Linked DNA regions of Mytilus edulis. Each later gene encodes a partner of the first gene's protein in a complex. Links are inferred from orthologs where the notes say so. Each region holds a gene or a part of one and is shown in the gene's direction. Other genes may lie near its edges.

Region 1 (10,870 bases):
TTCAGGGTGGGTAAATCAAATCCTGTTTCACATGTGGGACCCGTCGTGTTGCTCATATATAAGATTATTATACAATAATGATGTAATTTTTGAAGAAAAGAGAATGGGATTGTGGCTATGGCCATTGGCATTAGCATATTTCCGTCGTCATCTGAGAAACAGATATTCCATAACGGTCAACCATCTGGAAACAGATATTCGGCATAACGGTCAACCATCTGGAAACAGATATTCCATAACGGTCAACCATCTGGAAACAGTGTCCATAAAAATTCGAGGTGTTATATGTGATATTCACATGCTTAATTTATAAATGTTTTAAACCAACTATAATGCTTCATTGACATTCAGCAACACTAAGACGTACTATATCTACAAACAAAAACAAGTTTGTTCAAAACATAAAACTTTTAGAATACTCACAATGAAGAGCTTGCAGAGCTATTATTACAATACATGGCCTTAAATGCATTTTACACATAACCAAATACTATGATACACACGCTTTTTACCTGTAAGTTACCTTTTCTTTAAATGTATGTCAGATGCACATGTGTGTTGTTGGAGTTACATATGTACTTTAAGTAATCGATCTCCATGTTTGTATTTTTACAAGAGTTTCAAATCAGGTTTGTAAAGATTTTATTTTGCTTAAATGAAAACACTTTATGGAAATGAAAGATTTATTCAAAATATGAATTAATTAGACAGTAACTAAACAAGTTAAATTAAACCTCATAAAAAAATATCTTGAGATTAATATATGCATCTAACAATTTTATAGACTAGTACATGTCGCAATCGGCCCGAGTCTAGGCAAGTTGTGAAGAAATACAACAGAAACTAACAAAGTCCCAGCAAGCAATACCTAAGTTGTGGTATCATACCTGAATAGCGAGCCACGGTATCGAAGTTATAGTATAGAAACAAGCGATAGCCTTTCAAAAAGTGCTATATTCGACTCTTAGCTGATGACAATGGAAAGAGCTCTCGCTTTGTAGATTAATTCATTTACTAGAATAGCCAGGTGCATCAATCAACAAATTTTACCACACACGTGAGGTCACACGTTATGAAATAGTATCGTTTAACGTTGTTGTTTACTCCAGAAGATTCGTCTATTCATAGATAAAAGTTACCTGTGTAAAATCTAATTGCTAAGATAGAGACGACAAATCCGATACTCTACGGGATTGAAGGACATTTACTAGGTTTGGATTGTCCTAACCAATCAATAAATTTTGATTATTCACGACTCGTAATATCTTCCAATCAGGTAGCAAGAAAAATTCACGTCATAAGTGTCCATCGTTCAATTCTTAAGGAATTAAAATATGCAGTATTACACCCTCCGTCATCAAAAATGTTTAATTAACAATTTGCACAGGTTTGGTTTCCTCCGAGTCAATTTTGCCACTTAATTAAATATACATGTATATATCGCAAATAGCTTGTAACGTCGTCTATCTACAGCCAGGTTTCAAATCGTCAAAAGAAAAACAGAGAATAATATAACAGTGAAACCTGTTTAAACCAAACCTTTTCGGGACTTAAGATTATGTTCAGTTTTGGCCGATGTTCGGTTTTATCAGGTTCACCGTGACAACTCGTACAATTTGATATGACGGTGCTTAAGAACATTTTTGGTTCATACAGGTTTTCGGTTTATGCAGGATTCGGTTAAGCCAGGTTTCGCTGTACATAAAAAAAAATTCAATGATGGACCTGAAAGCCTGGTCATTTCTGCATGTTATGAACATTCAAGTTTAATTGAGAAAAAAACCGAAATCAGATTAACAAATTCACTTGTTTGATATAAGCTTGAACGCTTGAAACGGTTTTTGGAACAACGTCAAAATGCTCTTATGATAGGGACGTCATGAAATACTCGCTTGTAACAACATCGTGCGAATCGTCGTCATCGTCTTTCGCTAACAGGCTTTATCTGTCATCTATGAAGAATACTCGACCACTGCTCGTCATCAGATAGTTCAACATCTGCTGCCATTAGATATAAGAACCTAAATCTAGCTCCAATGTATTTGCATTCCTTCTATCTAATTTGCGTTGAATTTGATGTATCTCCATTAGAGGAGTTCTAAAGTCCTATAATGGAAGAATTGGAATGTCCATTGGCTCCATGCGAGGAGTTGTCTGATGTGTCGGTATATGTATAACGGGTGGGTCTGCTCTTTCCAATGATTTGTCTGTAGTCTGCAGTGTTGGTACAGTGGTTGGACCTTTGTTTTTGAGGTATTCATAATCTGTGTCTGTCAATGTCAGAAAACTGATCCAATTTTGTCTGTTTCCGTAAGACATAGGGAGGAAAAAATGAAAGAGTTTGATGAATGGTGTGTAGATGAACGGATGAATGCTTGTAGCATATGGAGGCAAAATAAACTTCCTGTACATCTTGGAATGTTTTATAGGTATGCCTTGTATACGCAAAACTGAAAAAGAAAAATAAGATTTTGTTGTAAAATAATGTACACTTTATGTGCGTTTTTTTATTTATTACAATAGTATTTTTTGTCTATTGGTGACAACTGCATATTGTAGTTGTATCAAAGATCTAATTAATTGTCATAACTATTTCAGTTACAGAGTACGACAGGGTTGTCCTTTTCTCCCTACCATATATGTTGTAAAACCTTATGAGTGAAATGTTATTTGATGTCTTAAAGATACTTCCAAATATACCTCTTAAACACAAACTTTTAGTATAAATCAGAAATTTAAAAATAAAAATGTTACAATTTGCTAATATCGTTTTAACCTACCTGAATTAACCGCTAAAACCCAAATGATAATAGATGACTTGAAAGTCATAATGTTATCTGCAGCTTTGTCTATATAATGGTTATCCTTTGTGTTACACCAAGAACACTATATTATACATATATAAACAGTAAGCCTATATAGATCTATATAGGAATACAGGTATTATATGGTACATAATTTTAGAATGAGTCTTTTTGCGTAATATGACGCACATAGTGACAATGGGTTTTATTATTAGTAACGACCAATGACATTGAACTATTTTTAATTAATGTAACTATTGGTGCAAAAAAAATGAATGGTGTCATAACTTTTGAACACATACAACTCCAAATGTGTTGCGTTTCGTGCGCTTATATACAAATGTAATTATTAAACAGGGTTTTATTTTAAAAGGATGTCAACTCAAAATTGTTATGAATGTCAAGTTATAGTCTACGAATTGTCGAATATCAAAATCCAAATTTAAATCTTACGGAAGCCTTTAAGGGCCATGTTCAATTACTTTATACAATTTGATATAACAAATTATTAATTTGATATAACAGATTATCAATTCGATATAACAGATTATCAATTCGATATAACAGATTATCATATACTTAGACTAAATAACCTATAAATTTTACCGTATGATAATAGCATTAAATTGACGTAAATTCCATATTTTTCGAATTGGTGCTTAGCGGGCTGATATGAAAAATTTATCAAATGCTTATCACATGCCTTTCCGTAACGTTATCACGTGGCATTCCGGTAATACTCGGCCAATTCCGGAAAATACACCTCAATGCTACGTTTTCAGTGAAAAACATTACAAAGTAGTGTACAAAACAACTATTTGAATACTGGAAAGAATATTGTTTAAAATCATAAAAAAAAAAAAAAATAATAATAAATGCATTTTTTAAGTTTTTCTGAAACATAATTTAGAAAGTTTCTTTAAAAAGTTGACTTTTCCAAACAATGATCATTATGTATATTGTTGAATTATTTTTTTGTCGATTCGTCCATAATAAATGGGTTTTTTTTTCTCGCTCTGTTGAGACATATGATAGAAAGATTTCATATTGAATGTATCAAATTTTGGGTCCGACGGCCGTGAACTTTTTTACTCTTTAAACTTCTGGAACCACGTAAAAGGATCAATATATGAATCTGTTATTTTTTTCTACTGTTGAAGCATATGATAAAAAGATCATAACATGTCATTTTTCATATCGCATGTATTATCAGCCCTCGGTCAATATCAGCCCTCGAGCCATGCGGCTCTTGGGCTGAGTATTGAACCTAGGGCTGATAATACATGCAATATGAAAAATGCCATGTAATAATATACAATTACTGTCTTTTGATGAGGTAAATATGCGGTTTTATTGACTTTTGAAAAATTGATATTCACTGAGGCCGACGGCCGAAGTGAATATCAGTTTTTCAAAAGTCAATTAAACCACATATTTACCGAAACAAAAGACAGTAATTGTTTTATTCCATATTCCGAGGAGATAAAATGTATTTGATGACAAACATAATACCAAAACAAATTTTACATGAAACATTTTACCATAACGTAGCATGTAAAAGCGCGTGACGTTTAGCGCGGTGAATAACACTTTCTCAGGTGAATATGCTTTTTTATTCAAAGTCCAATTCATATAGAGAAACCTACTAAAATAATACCAATATGGAATAATCTGATATTATCAATTTGGTATAACAGATTTTCAATTTTGATAATTATAACAATTTGTAAATTTGATATAACAAATTATTAATTTGATATAACAAATTATTAATTTGATATAACAAATTATTAATTTGATATAACAAATTATTAATTTGATATAACAAATGACCAATTTGATATAAAAAATTGTGAATTTCTCTACCAATAGGATAATTTTATCATAATAATGATTAATTTAAATATTGCATAACCCAAACTGGCGCATTTCGTGTACTAATTGATTGTTCATCGGACGTGCAGTGACAAATATCTAAGATCATCTAATGCATATTCAAAACTCAATTTACAGGTTTATTGTTTCTGTAACTCATCCTCCTCCCTTTTTTCTCCTTTATTTGATACATTTTTTTGGGGACTAGTTTCCCAATTTCGTATATGGGACTTTGTGTCTTAGAACGAACAAGTATAAGAGAGAAAAGGGCCTGTTTGATCAATATATATTGCATATTTTCAAAGGAAAACAAAGAGTTCTATTGAGATATTGCTTTTTCTAGGACCATAGGAACATGCAAGGATAAAAAAATATGCTTCACCTTCTTGAAAAAGCCTGGCATGATGCTTTAATGATTTCAACAGGAACATGAAAGGATAAATATTATAAATTTAGCTTTAACATATATTTTTTATTTGGATTTTTAAAAATTAAAATAAAGAAACATGCGTGAGATTTTTAATGATTGCTGACTTCTAATTAATTAATTAATTAGACCACTATGAGGTCCAAATTTTATATATTTGCTCAAAATTCGGATTTGTGTCGAAAGGAAAAATACGTCCACAAATCCGAATTTAGAGCAAATATATAAAATTTGGACCTCATTTTACTCAAAAAGTAGCACATTAAGGTAATTTTTTATAACATATTTGATTTAATCAGCCAAATAATAGCCTATATGCAAATTGTCATCAAAATTTCAATATGGGATCAAAATTGTATCGTATGCCCTTACCTTTTGAAGTGCAATGCCAACGGTCGTTCCCGAAATATATTTCATTTGAACTTATTATTTTACTTCAGACAAAAACTACAGTATATGTAGGACATAGTCTAGGTAACCTGGCATTTAAGGTAGCAGTAGCACTTCCCTCATATGATCATAAACTACTTAAAACTTTTTTTGAATTCTTCTATCGTTATATTCTTGTTTAATATGTCTCTGTCGATATTAAGATTTGGTTCTGAAGTTGGCTGTACCTATCTTTTTGTATATTTGTTATATTATCAATTTTTACAATTTTTCTTTGTTTTACTTATTTTATAAACCCTATATTTAAATTATCACATACTTATATTTGTAAACTAAAATTAAATCCATAGAACACAAATTTGAAATGGTCCAAATAAAAATCACTCAAGAAGGATCATCGAAACTACTAAAGAAATTCAAACTGCAAATATCAGGATCTGGGGAAGAAAAGTGATACGAGTTTTGTCAATACCCTTTCTCCATTCGGAATTAATCTTGTCGCGTAATCATACGCATGCGTATTGAACCAAAACAAACATGGATCACTTTTCCAGCTTCACAATCTTCCTATTACTTTCACAATGTTTTGGAAATATAGTAATGTTTTCAGGAATGTTAGATATAGAAGAAATAAACAACGTAAATTATGGAATCGATATTTTAAAAGAGCCAGTGTTGTTAAAGCCGGAGGTACAAATATGCAGGTTTTCTATACATCCCTCAACATATTTTTTTTTAGCAAATTCGGCCTGAGAAGATCTGAAAACACAGTTATTTTGTTGTGCATTTCTTTAAACCATAAATCTTAATTAAGAAAAATCTCACCTGTGATTTCTCAATTATATTTTTAAACTTTGTTGTGCTACTTTATATATTATAAATTATATCAAAATTATAGAAAACTTCATTATAAATTAAGATTTGTGTATCTTACTATACAAATCCTTGTTCAGCTTACTGTATACACATATTGATTAAAGAACTTATAATATTGCTTTTTTGGAAACTTCAGACCCTTGACCCAAGAATCTGTGACACTTGTCGAACTATTGATGTCATTGAACTTGACGTCGTGCATCAACCAACTTTTCATTGCAGAGTCTGGCATGTCCTGTTGTGATTTAACAAATTTTACTGGAACATTTGTGATGTCCAGTAATGATGGACAAATAGCGATATTAAGGTCACTGGTGTATTGTGTGTTAAAGGAAGGTTGACTATCCAAATAATACATACAGACAATTTTATATTTACCAGTGAGAGGCTTATTGGTAGTGTAAATTATTCTAAAATTTAATTTGTATTCTGTATGTTGCCCCATTTTAGCCATATTAGGGATGTCATGCACATACATCTTGTGATACCCATTGGATCCACAACTAGTTAGATATTAGCTACATTTTTTTGTAAATGTCAACATCTAATTAAAAATGAAATTCATTTAACTAAACACTAATGAATTGCTGTTTCTTTATGATGGAATGTATATTTCTAGGTAGAATTGCCGGTAAATCACATCCATTTAACGTCCAAATATGGACAGAGATATCAATGTCATTTTCCAGACCAAGTGGAAACAGTAAGAAAAACTGAAGAAAAGGAAAAAGAAGCTTTAGAAACTGGAATTCCTGAATTACTTAAACCATTAGAATCTGTACCTTGTTTGCTGAAGGTATATAATTTTTGATGTACTGTTTTAAAGGGACAGATTTTGTTTTTTTTTGCTTAAACTCTATAAAAATAACTTACATCTACATTGTATATAAAGCATGAAACCTTAGGGGATAGGAAATTCTGGAATGTCTATAATTACAGGTATATCATTCAGACCTATATTCAATGCTTTCTGACATAAAATCATTTCAACATATTGATCAGAATGAGACAAAATCGTTTTTACCAATTGTTTTATAATACCTAAACTTGTAAATGCTATTTAAATGGAGCAGAAAGAGAGAGAGGGGAATACACAAGATGATCAATTATTTTAGGAGTTTGGAATTATATAAGCTTCATCAACTGAGTATTTATCAGAAAATGTACCCTGTAAAAAGTGTATGCAAAACAGTGACTAAATGTACATTCAAAAGATTCTAGTTGAAACTAACACTGTAGATAGGCTTAGAATATTTAATTAAAAAAGAAAATTCATATCTGCCTAAGGCCACATATCTTCAAATTTTATAATATTCATTTAGTTCCTTTTTAGCTCACCTGGCCTAAAAGGCCATGTGAGCTTTTCTCATCACTTGGCGTCCGTCGTCGTCGTCGTTAACAATTTTTCAAACATCTTCTCCTCTGAAACTGCTGAATGGATTTGAATGAAACTTAAAATGATTGTTCCTTAGATTATCCTGCACAAAGTGTGTTCTTTAATTTTTGATCCGTCAAAAAACATGGCCGCCGTTACTTAAAATAGAACATAGGGGTCCGATGCAGTTTTTGGCTTATATCTCAAAAACGGAAGCATTTAGAGCAAATCTGACATGGGGTAAAAATGTTTATTAGGTCAAGATCTATCAGCTCAGAAATTTTCAGATGAATCAAACAAACCATTGTTGGGTTGCTGCCACTTAATTGGTAATTTTAAGGAAATTTTGCAGTTTTTGGTCATTATCTTGAATATTATTATAGATGAAGATAAACTGTAAACAGCAAAAATGATCAGCAAAGTAAGATCTACAAATAGATTAATATGACCAAAATTGTCAATTGACCCCTTAAGGGGTAAATGTCTTTTAATGACAATTTTTCACAATTTGTTCATCATATTTGCTAACTTTAAAAAATCTTCTCCTCTGAAACTACTGAATGGATTTGGATGAAACTTAGCATGATAGTTCCTTAGATTATCCTGCACAAAGTGTGTGCTTCGATTTTTGATCCGTCAAAAAACATGGCCGCCCTTACTTTAAATAGAACATAGGGGTCAAATGCAGTTTTTGGCTTATATCTCAAAAACGAAAGCATAGAAGAACTGTAAAGTGTACATGTCCAACTGGCAGGTGTCATCTCACCTTGACCTCATTTTCATGGTTCAGTGGTTATAGTTAAGTTTTTGTGTTTTGGTCTGTTTTTCTTATACTATATGCAATAGGTCTACTAAAATTGGTGTATAGAATGATTGTAAGGTGTACATGTCTAGCTGACAGGTGTCATCTAACCTTGACCTCATTTTCATAGTTCAGTGGTCAAAGTTAACTTTTTTAGTTTTGGTCTATTTTTTCAATACTTTATGCATTAGGTCAACTATATTTGGTGTATGAAAATATTTTATGATCTATATGTCGGTTACGCAGGTTTTATTTGAACTTGACCTCATTTTCACAGTCCATTGCTAAGTTTTAAGTGTTTGTGTTTTGGTCTCATTTTCTTTATTTATAAACAGTAAGTCATATATATTTGTAATATTGAAGAATTGTTAGCTGTACATGTTTGCCTGGCATGGTTCAATATGTTCAATAAGGCATTGTTTACCAGGTGAGCGATTCAGGCTCTTGAGAGCCTCTTGTTTGTTTGTTGTATCTTAAATTATTACCTTGAGTACATGTATATATTTTTTTCAGGCAAAGGATTGGTGGAGTTATGAGTTCTGCTATGGGAAATATATCCGACAATTTCATATTGAAGGTATAAAATAGAAATTAAAACTCTAACTGATGTCTGACAGAACTTTGAAATACTCAAATATTGTGCTTCAATAGGAGATGAAGTATTTTAGGTATCCTAGGCTCTTAAAATTGGTTTTGCTGAGTTTTTTTTGACTGAAAGTCGAAGTTAAAGTTTGTGATTTGGTCAGTTTAAGGGGAACCACAAGTTAAAAGTAAATGATATTTGGTCAGCAGTTGAATCAGTATCAGCACATTTTCATTTCCACGAAGATTATTTGGCCCTGCTCCTTCTGACATGGTTAGGGGATACCACCACTCCTTTCATTTAATTGATTGCTTAATATCCTGATCAGAGCTATGCATGAAAAAGGTTAAATACTAAACTTCAAATGATTTCCAAAATTTCATTAACATACTATCCCTGTTTTAAATTAATGTTGAAAATATCGAAAACTCTTTAAGACATCCATATCTTAAATATATCTTTGCTATAACTTTTCAAGTTCCCCAAAAGAGTTTTTTTTTCTTTCTCAGAGGTCATGTAATTCCTCTCTCATATTACAGGTTGCTAAAATGGGTCACATCCACAATGGGCCTGAAATTTAGGGACACAAAAGTTGGGGAGAGCCGCATCATGAAAGGAGTTTCTGGATGTGCTAATTTATAAAAAAATGAATCATACTTCCTTAACCTAACATTTAACCAAATAAAGTGAAACTGTTGCAGCTTCCAAACGAACCATCATACATATCCAAGTATACGATATGGACTGATTTTCAGAAGAAAATGTAATTACAACTGCCTATGGGAAATCAATTATGCATACTGACGTTAAAGACTCTTCAATACTTATTTCCCTTTACAGAACTTAGGACTAGAGTGTTCTTTTGAAGCCTTTCCTTTATTAAAGTGACTGTTGTGAATGATTGTGAGATATTTGTTTTGAATTGGAAAAACAATTCTTTAGTTATAGAATTTTTTGATTTTTTAAACAGTTTTTGCCCATAAAATTTTATGAAAATTCTACAACCTACAAATGTTATGCTATTATGTTTAAACCTAATCCTAATCTTTTCTAATTCTGTCATATTTCTATTTATCTTTAGTTATGGTAAGAAGGTCAAGCTTATCATTTCCTCGTGATTTGTCAGATTTTTGTTTACTTTTTCAGATGGAAAGATACTTGGAGATATTGTATATTTAGGTTACTATGACTCAGAGAAGGACTGGTCAGAAAGAGAAGAGGTAATTGACATACAGTGTAACACTGTTTCACAATCTGTCATCAATGGTAGTTAGATGTATTTTACAGCATCATTATGCATATCATGTGATATAATTTAGGCTAGTTTATTAAACAAAATGTCAGTAAATGTTAACAATTAGTCTCTATCACAATAGAGGACCTACATTTAATCAAGACTTTTAAAATGCAACCTAACCCAATCTGGGGTGTGGAAATATTTGTTGTGAGCACTTGTCCCTGGGCAAGTAAAACTAAAAATTTTACTTGTCCGGAAAAAAATTTACTTGCCCTGATGATCCCAATAAATATTGAAGTATTTCTTGATAGCTAATATATGATTTTTACTTCGCACTATTGTGCATCACAAACGAATGAAATCCATTTGTTTATATGTGTAAAAAATTAGGAAAGAATGAAATGGGTTAACATCAGTGGGACAGAAACCTAACAGCAAACCAACCAATGAAATGACATGTAAAGGACAATTTTGCAGCAGTTTTGGAATAAAAATTGTAGC
Region 2 (10,810 bases), on another chromosome or scaffold:
AGCAACAACCGATTTGAGCGTACCAAAGTCACAGGGCACGTCTAGTACATTGTATACATGCCTTTGCCCCCCCCCCCCCCCCATTTTTTCTCTTCTCGTAGAATAAGATTGATGTCTATATATGGTCGGGGAACTCTTTAAAATCTTAAATTAGACACACGCGCGAGGAAGAAAAGTGGTGTCACGTGATACTGAAGTATATTATCGTGGACTTTAATATTCTTTTTAGAGGGGACCTTGGACAGACAACATGTGTATATATTGACCATGTTGACAGAGCGACACACTAACTGTTCATTTTGTTCTTCAATAGCTCGCGTATCACACGATACATGTATCTTATTTTGTACAATTTAATTACACGCTTATCGATTGATTTCAGCTAAGGCAGCAACTATTTAATTTCCGGGTGGGGGGGGGGGGGGGGGCTATGTTTTTTTTTTCTGTACAAACAAGTCGAAAACAATTTTTTTCTTTCAATTTTAGCATTACATATAGTGGCAGCTGAGGGGGTAACAAACAATTATTTTTTTTCAGAATTCAAAACGAATTATTTTTTTCTCCAAAAACTGGAAACAAACTTTTTTTTCCAAAAAAAAATCATAGCCCCCCCCCCCCCCCCCCCCCCCAAGAAAATCAAATGGTTGCTGCCTAATGTGTATATTGTAGCAGGTGTTCGATTAACGAATGTGTACTTTAGTGCAAGTGCAGAAATGTCACTTACGTGTACTCTTCGTGTTTCTCTTTCTCATGTGTTTCTCTCAGTGGCGATTTTCTCTTCAAAGCACGATTTTTGTAAAGAATAGAAGCACGTCAAAAAATATATTAGTTTTATTCTAGCATATTCTAGAAGATGTTTTGCAGTACAGCTAGATTTGTATTTGATCGTATGCACATACTCATGATTACAGAATTTTGACTCAAATTTGCGAAGTGTGTTATGTTTATTATTTTGCCGTTTCCATGACAACGGCGGCAAAAACCATTTTGAAAATGGCAAGGACAGATGCCGTTCCAATAGCATTTAACCGGGAATGAGCTTAAAATTTGTAAGAAAATGGTACTTTGACGTTTTTTCCCATATGGGTCAACATTGCACTTTTATCCTTATCTCCATGGTAACAGTAGCAATCTCAAAAATTCCAACGGCAATGAATTCTACCGTTCATACTCTTGTTACGCGGGGGTAGGTTTGGGGGTCGTATCTGTAACGGTTGATTTACTATGAATTAATTGAGGAATTATTTTCGTTTCAGTTTCCACGTTTGGACTGTTTCCATGGCAACGGTAGCCATTTTGAAAGTTTTTAAGATGGATTTCATGCTTTCGAATGATGAGTTATAATGTCTGAAAGTTTCATTTAATTTTGAGCATTTTTCGGTTTTTCACATTTTTGCCCTTTCCGTGGTTACGGCGGCCATCTTGAAAATTCCAGACCCTCACTGCACATCTGCACATGGGAATTGTCACTATGGTACAGTTTTATCAATGTATATCAAGTCATCTCCGAGAACTAAGCTGGACAAAAAGTGTGGAAGAATAATTCGGAACAATAACAATATATCACCCCTATTTCCATAGGGGTGAAATAAATAAAAAGAAACGTAGAATACCAATACGTCACCACAACTCCGTTGAGGATGCAATAAAAACATCTGAAACCGCTTGTTCAACGTATACTAGTTTATTTAGCAACAGATTGGTTTGTTTGATCAAGTATATATACATATGGTGGCCTAAATTGACAATTTAAGTCTTGAAATGATGATTTAGAGGCATGTTTTAAAGGTTATTCGTCAGTATGATTCAATTCAACCTGAAAATCAAATGGATAAGTTTTGTTGTATTATCTTAATTGGGCGTTTTTCAATAAAAACGTACTTTCTTGTCCCAGCCACTTTTAAAAAAATGTGTTTGATCTTTGCAAGTAATTGCATGTTTGTGCAGTCAGTACATTGAATTAGATTTAACATTTTAAAGCAAAGAAACAGTTTATTTTTTAGAGGGATTGATAAGATATTGATTCCTGAATGGTCCAAAACAACCCGGCAAAATGGCATATCCTTAGACCGCCTGTTCAACATTCATACTCTAAAATATCGTAAAAAAATGTAGAAATAAATGTTATTTTTACTTAATATAAGTTCTTTGATAATTCAAAAGTATGTTTAGAGCCAACATAATTTTATAAACAGCTTTTAACATAGGATTTTTAATTTCAGAAGGTGTGTCCCTGACAAAATGACCACTACGAAACGAAGTCATTAAAATTTGCTAATAAACAGTTTTATAAAATCAATATAATTTTGTTTGCAAGAGATATAAACATTAGGGTCTTACAAAAGAATTGATGCTTTTATAACGGCAATTAAATTGTTGGTAAGAAAAATTGAGCACATCAAATGGACCAGAGTGATACCGTATTTTTGTTAATGTCCACTACGAAACGGGTCAAATCTCTTTCAGAATCTGGTTTTAAAATTATGAAAAAAATATCAGTGTACAGCTTAATACATGTTTTGATGAATACAATCAGTATTGTTACTATTGCAATACAGGGATTGTTGGTAAAAAATAAAACATGTGAATATGTCCCCTACGAAACGGTCACCTACGAAATAAGTATGGGAGAAAAACGTTTCCGTAGTGGACACTACCACTACCATGCAGCCTTTTTTTACTCTTTTTTTCAATTTTACTCGTGCAAAACAAATAATAAGGGTTAGTTTCATGTAATTTTTTTTTTTTTTTATTAATATGGAATAGGGTTGATGTCCAACTCCACTACAAAACGGTTTTGTAAACTACGAAACGCATCAAAATGTCCACTACGAAACATGAGTTGTACCTTCATATGTGAAGTACTGTCTAATCTTTATCGATAAAAATGGTTCTCCGATTCAGAAAAAATGAGATTTTTCTAGTATATATAAAAGTAAACAAACTGGAATGTCTATAGCAAACATTTAAAATTGCAATAATATGTGTGTTTACAAGCAGTTTCGTAGGGGACTTTTTACGAAACAGTAGACAAATTATGAAAATAATATCATTTTAAAGAGTATTTAAGATTGCACTTTTTGTTTACAAATAGGTCTATAATAGAGGTATTCAAAATAATGAAATAACCCTTGAAATAATTTTAGACAATTTGATTTTCCGTTTTTATAGGTCTGAAAGTCACGCTTTTATTAAAAAAAAACGCCCAATTATGAAATTCTTACTTATATTTCTGACATTATATCAGAACGTGCGTGGATATGTTCATAGAGAACAGAAACAAATATTAAATAAAACTTCATTGTTTATTTAATAGATATCATATATACAAAGTCTGAGATTTTTTATTCAATTGAATGAGACACTTAACATTATTCCTTTGATGTATGTACAAGACGGCACGTCACTTTTATTCTATATTTTTGTAGAAAGGATAATTGATCTTTATAGAAATGGGGAATTTGCTGTACATAAGTAGCAAATCAATAAGGAACTGACGACAATTTAAATGTTTAACTTCAGGAGGGTATGGTTTTTCTTAAAAACAATTAATTTTATAAAAAAAAGAAAAAAAAAGTGGTCAAGCAGATAACAAAAAAAATGTTCTGAATCTAGATTTTCACCATACCTTATAATGTTATTTTTTTTATTTTCTGACTCATATCCCCCCCTTTTTTTTTTAAAGAAAAAGTGTACCCTAAAGAGATTTTTTTTGCAAAAAATCCACAGACTTAAGGTAGCACAATACAAAGATTTTTTCACTCCCAATCAGACAACTTTAAACTGATGTAATTCATTTCATCCTTCTTTGTATTTTATAAATGAGGTACCAAAAGAAAGAAGAAAGATCAATCTTTTACATTGTGTTAATTTCATTATGACATAATTATTACATAATTAATTGTTATGTAATTAGTTGCTATATTGTGATGTCCACACTTGAATGAATTTAGCGTCTTAACTATTCATAGCATCCCAAAATATTTTATAGATTCCTGTACAACACAGCTTGACCTCCCAAACTGTGTCTCAGATTTCCAAAAACATCAATAGAACAAATTTTATACCCAATTGAATTTAGTGATCTCTATGAATTGATGTTGCGAACTTCATTGAAGATTTATGAGAGAATGAAATACAATAGGAAAAATCTGAGACACAGTTTTGGAGGTCAAACTGTGTTGTGCAAGAATCTATAAAATATTTTGGGATGCTATGAATAACAAAGATGCTAAATTCATTCAAGTATGGACATCACAATATAGCAAATAATTACATAACAATTAATTGTGTAATAATTATGTCATAATGAAATTATCACAATTTGAAAGATTAATCCTTCTTCTTTCTTTTGGTACCTCATTTATAAAATTTAAAGAAGGATGAGTGGAATTACATCAGTTTAAAGATGTCTGATTAGGGATGAAATATCTTTGTATTGTGCTACCTTAATAAATATTAAAATTGTAAACATAGATAACTAACTGATTTATGCATGTTTTGATAGCGTTTATTTTCTACAAATATTCCTGATTAATCGGCTTTACAATCCAAAAGCGTCATGCTGAGTTCCTATAAAATTAGGTAAACGGACAGAAAGTCACAGGACAAAAAGTCACAGGACATAAAGTCACAAATTTGGTAGGACAAAAGGTCACAGGACAAAAAGTCACAAATAATCTGTTGACAATTGTTTGAATACATTTATATAAGAGAAATATCTTGAAACATGTGAAATATTAACTTTTTAATACATATATTTATATTAAAGTTAAGGAAGTGTGTCATTATATTTGACAAACGAAGATTTATTTAATTTCAATCATGCAAAAGAAAGATTTCTTGGCATCATGAAGCCATTAATTTAAGTGCCAAGACACTTTGACATTTTGTTTTTTTTAACAATTATTTGATCATCTTAGATATGTTTTTGAAAAATTTTGTTTATAAAGTTGGTTTATATACAATAGTTCAAGAAAAATACAAAAATAATTTTGTGAAAATAAACATTTTTTATTCAAAGAAAATAATCAGAAAAAATGAATTGTGACTTTTTGTCCTGTGACTTTTTGTCTGTGACTTTTTGTCCTGTGACTTTCTGTCCTACATTCTAAAATTATAACGCACATTAGAAAGCGTATTTGGTCTTTTTTCATACTATGTCTACTTATATATTTGCAATAATCATCTGTCCATTGTCCAAATTGTAAAACATAGGCTGATTTACAAGAGGGAAGCCTGCTGTGGATTATTTTAAAATATAATTTTCATGGTTATCATTGAAACAACTTGCAGTGGCAGATCTAGAAATTTTCAAATGGGGAAGGGAGCACTGACTGCCCTTAGAGGATGCCCGCTTCAGTCATGCACAAATGATTTTTAATATTCCCATAAATTTGGGATCGTTTTGGTCTATCTCATTTTACAGATTGAATGGTGATTAGTCACACCAGTTTTGACAGTATGGCGGAAAAGAAGAAAAAATACAGCGAAATGGACAAGAAAACAATGAAAAACTCAGATTTTAGCCCCAAGAACTTTACAGAAAACCCAGAAAATGGACAAAACAACTTTAAACAAAGATCCAACAAACAATCAACACGAGAAGAAAACAAAAACACAATAAACATGCGTGAATATGCTCGGCAACTGGCCCCATGGATTCACCAGTACAGATTATGGACTGCTATTTCAACTTTACCACCAACTTTCCCCCACCAGACAATGAGCTGTTTTCAGTTCGGGGGCCAACAGACATTTCAATCGTTTGGTTCTGCGCCTGTTTATCCAACTACTAACCCAATTATTCATAATCAGATCGGTGCAACCCCTCAGGCTCAAAATCGAAATCAGAGAAACGTTTCTACAGGACAAGGAACAACAACAAATAGATTAGGTATTTCAGAAATTTGTGTTGCCTAATTAATATTTAAAATTAAGAATGGAAATGGGGAATGTGTCAAGGAGACCAACAACTAGCATGTGACCAAACTAATAACAGAAAAACAGCCAACAACACAGTAAGAAAATTCCACACCCGGAGGCTTGCTTCAGCAGGCTCCTAAACAAAATATGTACTAGTTCAATCAAGGATTTGTATAGTAAGATCTTACTATACAAATCCTTGGTTCAATGAATAGGGACGTCACAACAAACTCCAATGAATAAAGTAAAATAAAATAACTATTTGGCTAACGTGTCGTTAATATCAAAAACAAAATACAGGGTATATCAGGGTAGCGCCTGATATTGGACTTAATAGCAAAATGGCGCTGAATTATGAAATATGAGTACATGTGATGCTACATTCCTAAAGTACATGTATGATGTAAAAGTAATGTGCAAAAAAAAAAGGCGCCAACCTACACACATGACACATGCTACAGAATAAAATTAACATTTTGTAAGTTTCTTTTTATACAGTCAAAAGACTTACATTTGTAATTTATTTTTGGCATTGATTATTAAATGATGTATGCTCTAACTTTACAAGTGCACAGATAAGTCTGTAGTAAAGTAAATTTATGGCATAAACATACATGCATACATGTATATGTAGCTTGTCTGTTCATTTTGATGGACCATGTACATGATGTAATGCATTTCCATTTTGAAATTTCAGGTACAGAATATATGTTACCACCCTTATGGAAGAGAGTTCTAGCAGAAGTGATAGACTTTATTGTATTATTTTACCTGAAAATCATAATCATGATTATGGTGATGAGACAAATGGGTATTTTGTAAGTTTTTTGTTATATCATTATATCATTATAACCGATTATATTACTATCTTTTAGTTGTGGTTATTTCAAAATGTAATTTTTAGTCATCAATTTTATATTATATTTTGTATCGGCAATCCTTTGGTGAATCCACTACTCTCCTATCTAAGATGAAGGTACGGAATCAGCCAAGTTGTGACGAGTGAATTTTGCCCCTTAAGGGATGGGTAGAAACCTTTTACTTCAATGAAAATTGTACAGCCTCCAACCTGGAGTAAACCCTATATTATGAAATGTATATATACAATGTATGATTTAATTTTTTTTGGATATTTTCTTGGCACTTTTATACTCTTTCATATACACATGATACTGTGATGTTTAATCAAATGTTAGGAATCAGAATTTATTTGAATTTTGAAGTTTTAATGAGCTTTATCTATATGGTATATATACATTTATAAATATTTATTTTTCTTTCAGAAAAACAGAAAATGTGTTGAATGTTCATATTGATGTTGTCCCATATTTTGACCTGAAAAACATGGAGATGGACATAGATAAAGCCTTTACAATGACGTCAGAAATAATAGCTTTAGAAATCGTCAACAGAATAATGATCACTTTATTTGAGGTACAACTGTATTTCAACTTTGAATGTTTAGAAGGAAGGGGAAAGTTTGTCTAAGAATTTAATATGTATGTGCAAGAGTTCTGAATCAGTTGGTTGGTCCTTGTACATGTATCATGTTTGTGAAGTTTAAAAAAGATGTAAGAGAGAGCCAGCATTTATGTTTAGAGCAAAGAATTGTGAAAACTGTTGCAGACATGTATGTTGATGATATCAAGTGGAAAGTATTTACAACTTTCTATAAGATAAAGAATTACTTGTTATAGTTCAATGATTTTACTCCTGTTTGTTGTTAAAAAAACCATTAATAATTTGAAATTTCTCTTTTTCATTTTAGACGTTCTGCTTGCGGAAAGGAATGGGATCACCAGGTGGAGCCACTCCTGGAAAAAGACTCCTTGGAATGGTGGTTGTATCGTGTGAAAATATCATGGATCTGGGGAACGGGAAAGTTTTAGTCATTCCTGCAGAGGATATAGGCTTTATTAAGTAAGTTTTCAAATAGAATTGACAATATAACTGTCCAAGTTTGCATAATCAAATGGAACCAAAAAATATATATTTTGCTTAAAAAAATTATGACATTATGGTAAAACTCTTTAAAGATACAAGGCTTCTAATTTTGTAAACCAGATGTGAATTTGATTGATCTGCAGTTTGATTCTTAACATAAATTTGAAGATACTTGAAATGGTAGAAATATCCAAACATACAGACCGGTAAATATAAAGTAGCATACAAAAAAAGAGAAGAGTACATGTATTTGAACAAAATAGATTTGATATGGTATTAAACCCTGTTTTAAGGGATATATATACCTAATGTTAACAGAGTGCTTTAAACATGTTAAATAAAAGGTTTCTGAGAATAAAAAAATTGCAGTTATTCTTTCTTTAATCAGTTAGTGTTTATATATTAAAATAATAATAGAGTAATACAATTTTAAATATATTTACGTTTTTATGACCCCTTAAAACATGTTAATTTAACATACAAAGTTGAAATTATCTAGTCAAAGGGAGATAATCTCTCATATTTTTTAATACATTTTTCAGTCAGAGGTCGAAAGTGTTTCTACACTAAAAAAATACAAATTATATTTTAAATAAAAATGTTTTCAAGTTTTTATTGAAATATAACTATTTAATAGAATTATATCTGCAGTTTCTTTCTACAATTTTAAGATATGATTCAAACTTCTAGAGAAATTACCGTTTATGGACAAATCTGAATGTCTGCAAGACTTAAAATATTATATGGTTAATTGGAAACATTATGATACTAAATTTCAATATATTTTTTTTTTAAGCTTATGACTTTTAAGAAATGACAATAGTATGGAAAAAATTCATTAGAATGGATCTAAATATTGACAATGTTATATTTTATTTTTCAGTGCCTTGGTCAGATCTGTGATAAAGAATTTCACACTAGCATTCTTTTTTCCTGCCTGTTTAACTGTGTTCTTTTTCCAACATAACCGAGCAGCATATGACATTTTAGCCAAGACAATAGTTGTGGAGCACATACGTCCAGTTCAGCGAAATGTGCGATAGCAAATATATGTTAATTTTAATATGATAGATACTATTTGTTACAATTCTATTTGTTTTATGTTTTATGTAATGTGTTTTTATGATGATGTTGTTTTACAAAACCTATCATTGCCCTTTATTATGATTATAAAATTTTAATCACAATTTCATTAAAATTTAAAGCTTCATATTATAACAATTTATTATGTGTTAATTGACATTTTGTTTTTCCAATACATTTTAGAATAACTTTCTGACATATATGTAAGTTTTCAAAACATTCTTTTTTTCTGAAATTTATTGTATCAGAGCAAACCAGCTATATGGGGAAATTTTTGGCACCAGAAACCAAGAAAAAAGGCTGAAATTGAGATGCAGTTACAAACTTTAATGAAAAAGCAATTTAATATAGTATAAATTACAAGATTGGATGATACTTTTCAACATCAGCAATAAGGTATTAAGTTGAACAAAACTCATTTCAAATTTATTACCTTCATATGTCACCCTTATGTAATTATATATAGATTCTTATATTGATATCAATGGATTATCAGATTTATCCAATCAAGATAGGTAAATTATTAATTTCAAAGTCAGAGCCTTGGCAAGGACTTTAAAATTTATAATTCAACTTTAGAATGGATAAATCCGATAATTCATGAAAAACTATGTAAAAATCTGTTTCTTTAATGATGAAAAAAATAAATTTTAAATTTTTGTTAAACTTAAATCCTTATCGAGTGCCTCGCACATTCCAAAAAACAATTTCATTAAACCTGTTAGCATATTTTGATCCATCCTGGTAAAGGTTATGACCCTTATATTCATTCAATCATCTTCTGAGATCACCGGCAACCACAGGTTTATTATTTTTGGGTTAGAAACAGTAAAAATTTCCATAAAATTAGAGACATGTGGAATGACTGTACATTGTCTGGAAATATAAAAATATTTTTGTACAAGACTCAGACATATTGGAAACAGGAAGTTTCCCCCAGCATTTTAATTCTTTTCGAGCCTAGTACAAATAAAATTTACATTGAGGGTCAATGTATGGGTTATTTTTTTCTCCCACAACTGTTTCAAATGAAATATTTGGATAAAAAAAAAAAACTTTTAATTTAAAGCTAATGACTTAAAAGATTCTGTGAAGCTGTATTCTTTATTGACGTCATAAATAAAACTCTACAGAAACTCTTTATTTGTAGGTGACATATCTATATAAAAATGTTGTGCTCATTTATAGCTGGGATATGCTCTATATCAAGGCAAGAAACAATTCTCTTGTTACATTATGTTTTCTATCATTGATGTATTATATGGTCACATGGTGTATAAATTTGTGATATTTTGTACTGTGTATGTGAATCATTTATTAAGGCGAAATTGATGAGAATGAGTTGACTTGTATTCTTGCCATATTGTTTTTTACGGTTTAAAAAAATATGTGATACCTTTGTAAAGCTTCATGCACAAATTACTGTTCAATTCTGTGGATTTGTCTTATTTCATAAAGTAAAAGTAATAAATTCCTTTGAAAAAGCTCATTAATGGAAGAATGCAAAAAGTCAGTTGTTATCTTATATATGTCCTGCTTAGGTGTTATGATCACTCTGAAATTTAATGTTCAGTCAATTAAAACATAGATAAATTGATGGGGTAACAAGAGATTATTTCCATTTTAAGATAATAAAAAATTGCCATGGGAACAATTATCACTAGAAGATTGATTTTTAGCTTGGTGGTCTGCAAAAATTGCAAACATCAAAATTAAGGCAGGAACCTGTTCAGTCGTCGTCGTTTGTTGATGTAGTTCATATGTGTTTTTCATTTTTTATATAATGTAGACCAGTGGTTTTTCTGTTTGAATTATTTTACACTAGTCTTTATACCTTGCTGGTCAGTATGAGCCAAGT

The links.
Region 2: protein OS-9-like (region 1) and protein FAM8A1-like share a complex: the UniProt entries of both Homo sapiens proteins name them as parts of the HRD1 complex. The link is inferred for Mytilus edulis from reciprocal best matches to the Homo sapiens genes OS9 and FAM8A1.

The regions. Positions count from the first base shown.
Region 1 is NC_092345.1:81,440,756-81,451,625, forward strand, and holds the start of protein OS-9-like, read left to right. Parts: upstream 1-5,998; 5' UTR 5,999-6,033; coding exon 6,034-6,186; intron 6,187-6,991; coding exon 6,992-7,168; intron 7,169-9,062; coding exon 9,063-9,126; intron 9,127-10,278; coding exon 10,279-10,352; intron 10,353-10,870. Other genes in the region: uncharacterized protein, read right to left, coding at 424-481. UniProt on the Homo sapiens protein: Lectin component of the HRD1 complex, which functions in endoplasmic reticulum (ER) quality control and ER-associated degradation (ERAD).
Region 2 is NC_092355.1:54,898,868-54,909,677, forward strand, and holds the start of protein FAM8A1-like, read left to right. Parts: upstream 1-5,445; 5' UTR 5,446-5,463; coding exon 5,464-5,896; intron 5,897-6,622; coding exon 6,623-6,743; intron 6,744-7,208; coding exon 7,209-7,359; intron 7,360-7,693; coding exon 7,694-7,845; intron 7,846-8,752; coding exon 8,753-8,912; 3' UTR 8,913-10,810. UniProt on the Homo sapiens protein: Plays a role in the assembly of the HRD1 complex, a complex involved in the ubiquitin-proteasome-dependent process of ER-associated degradation (ERAD).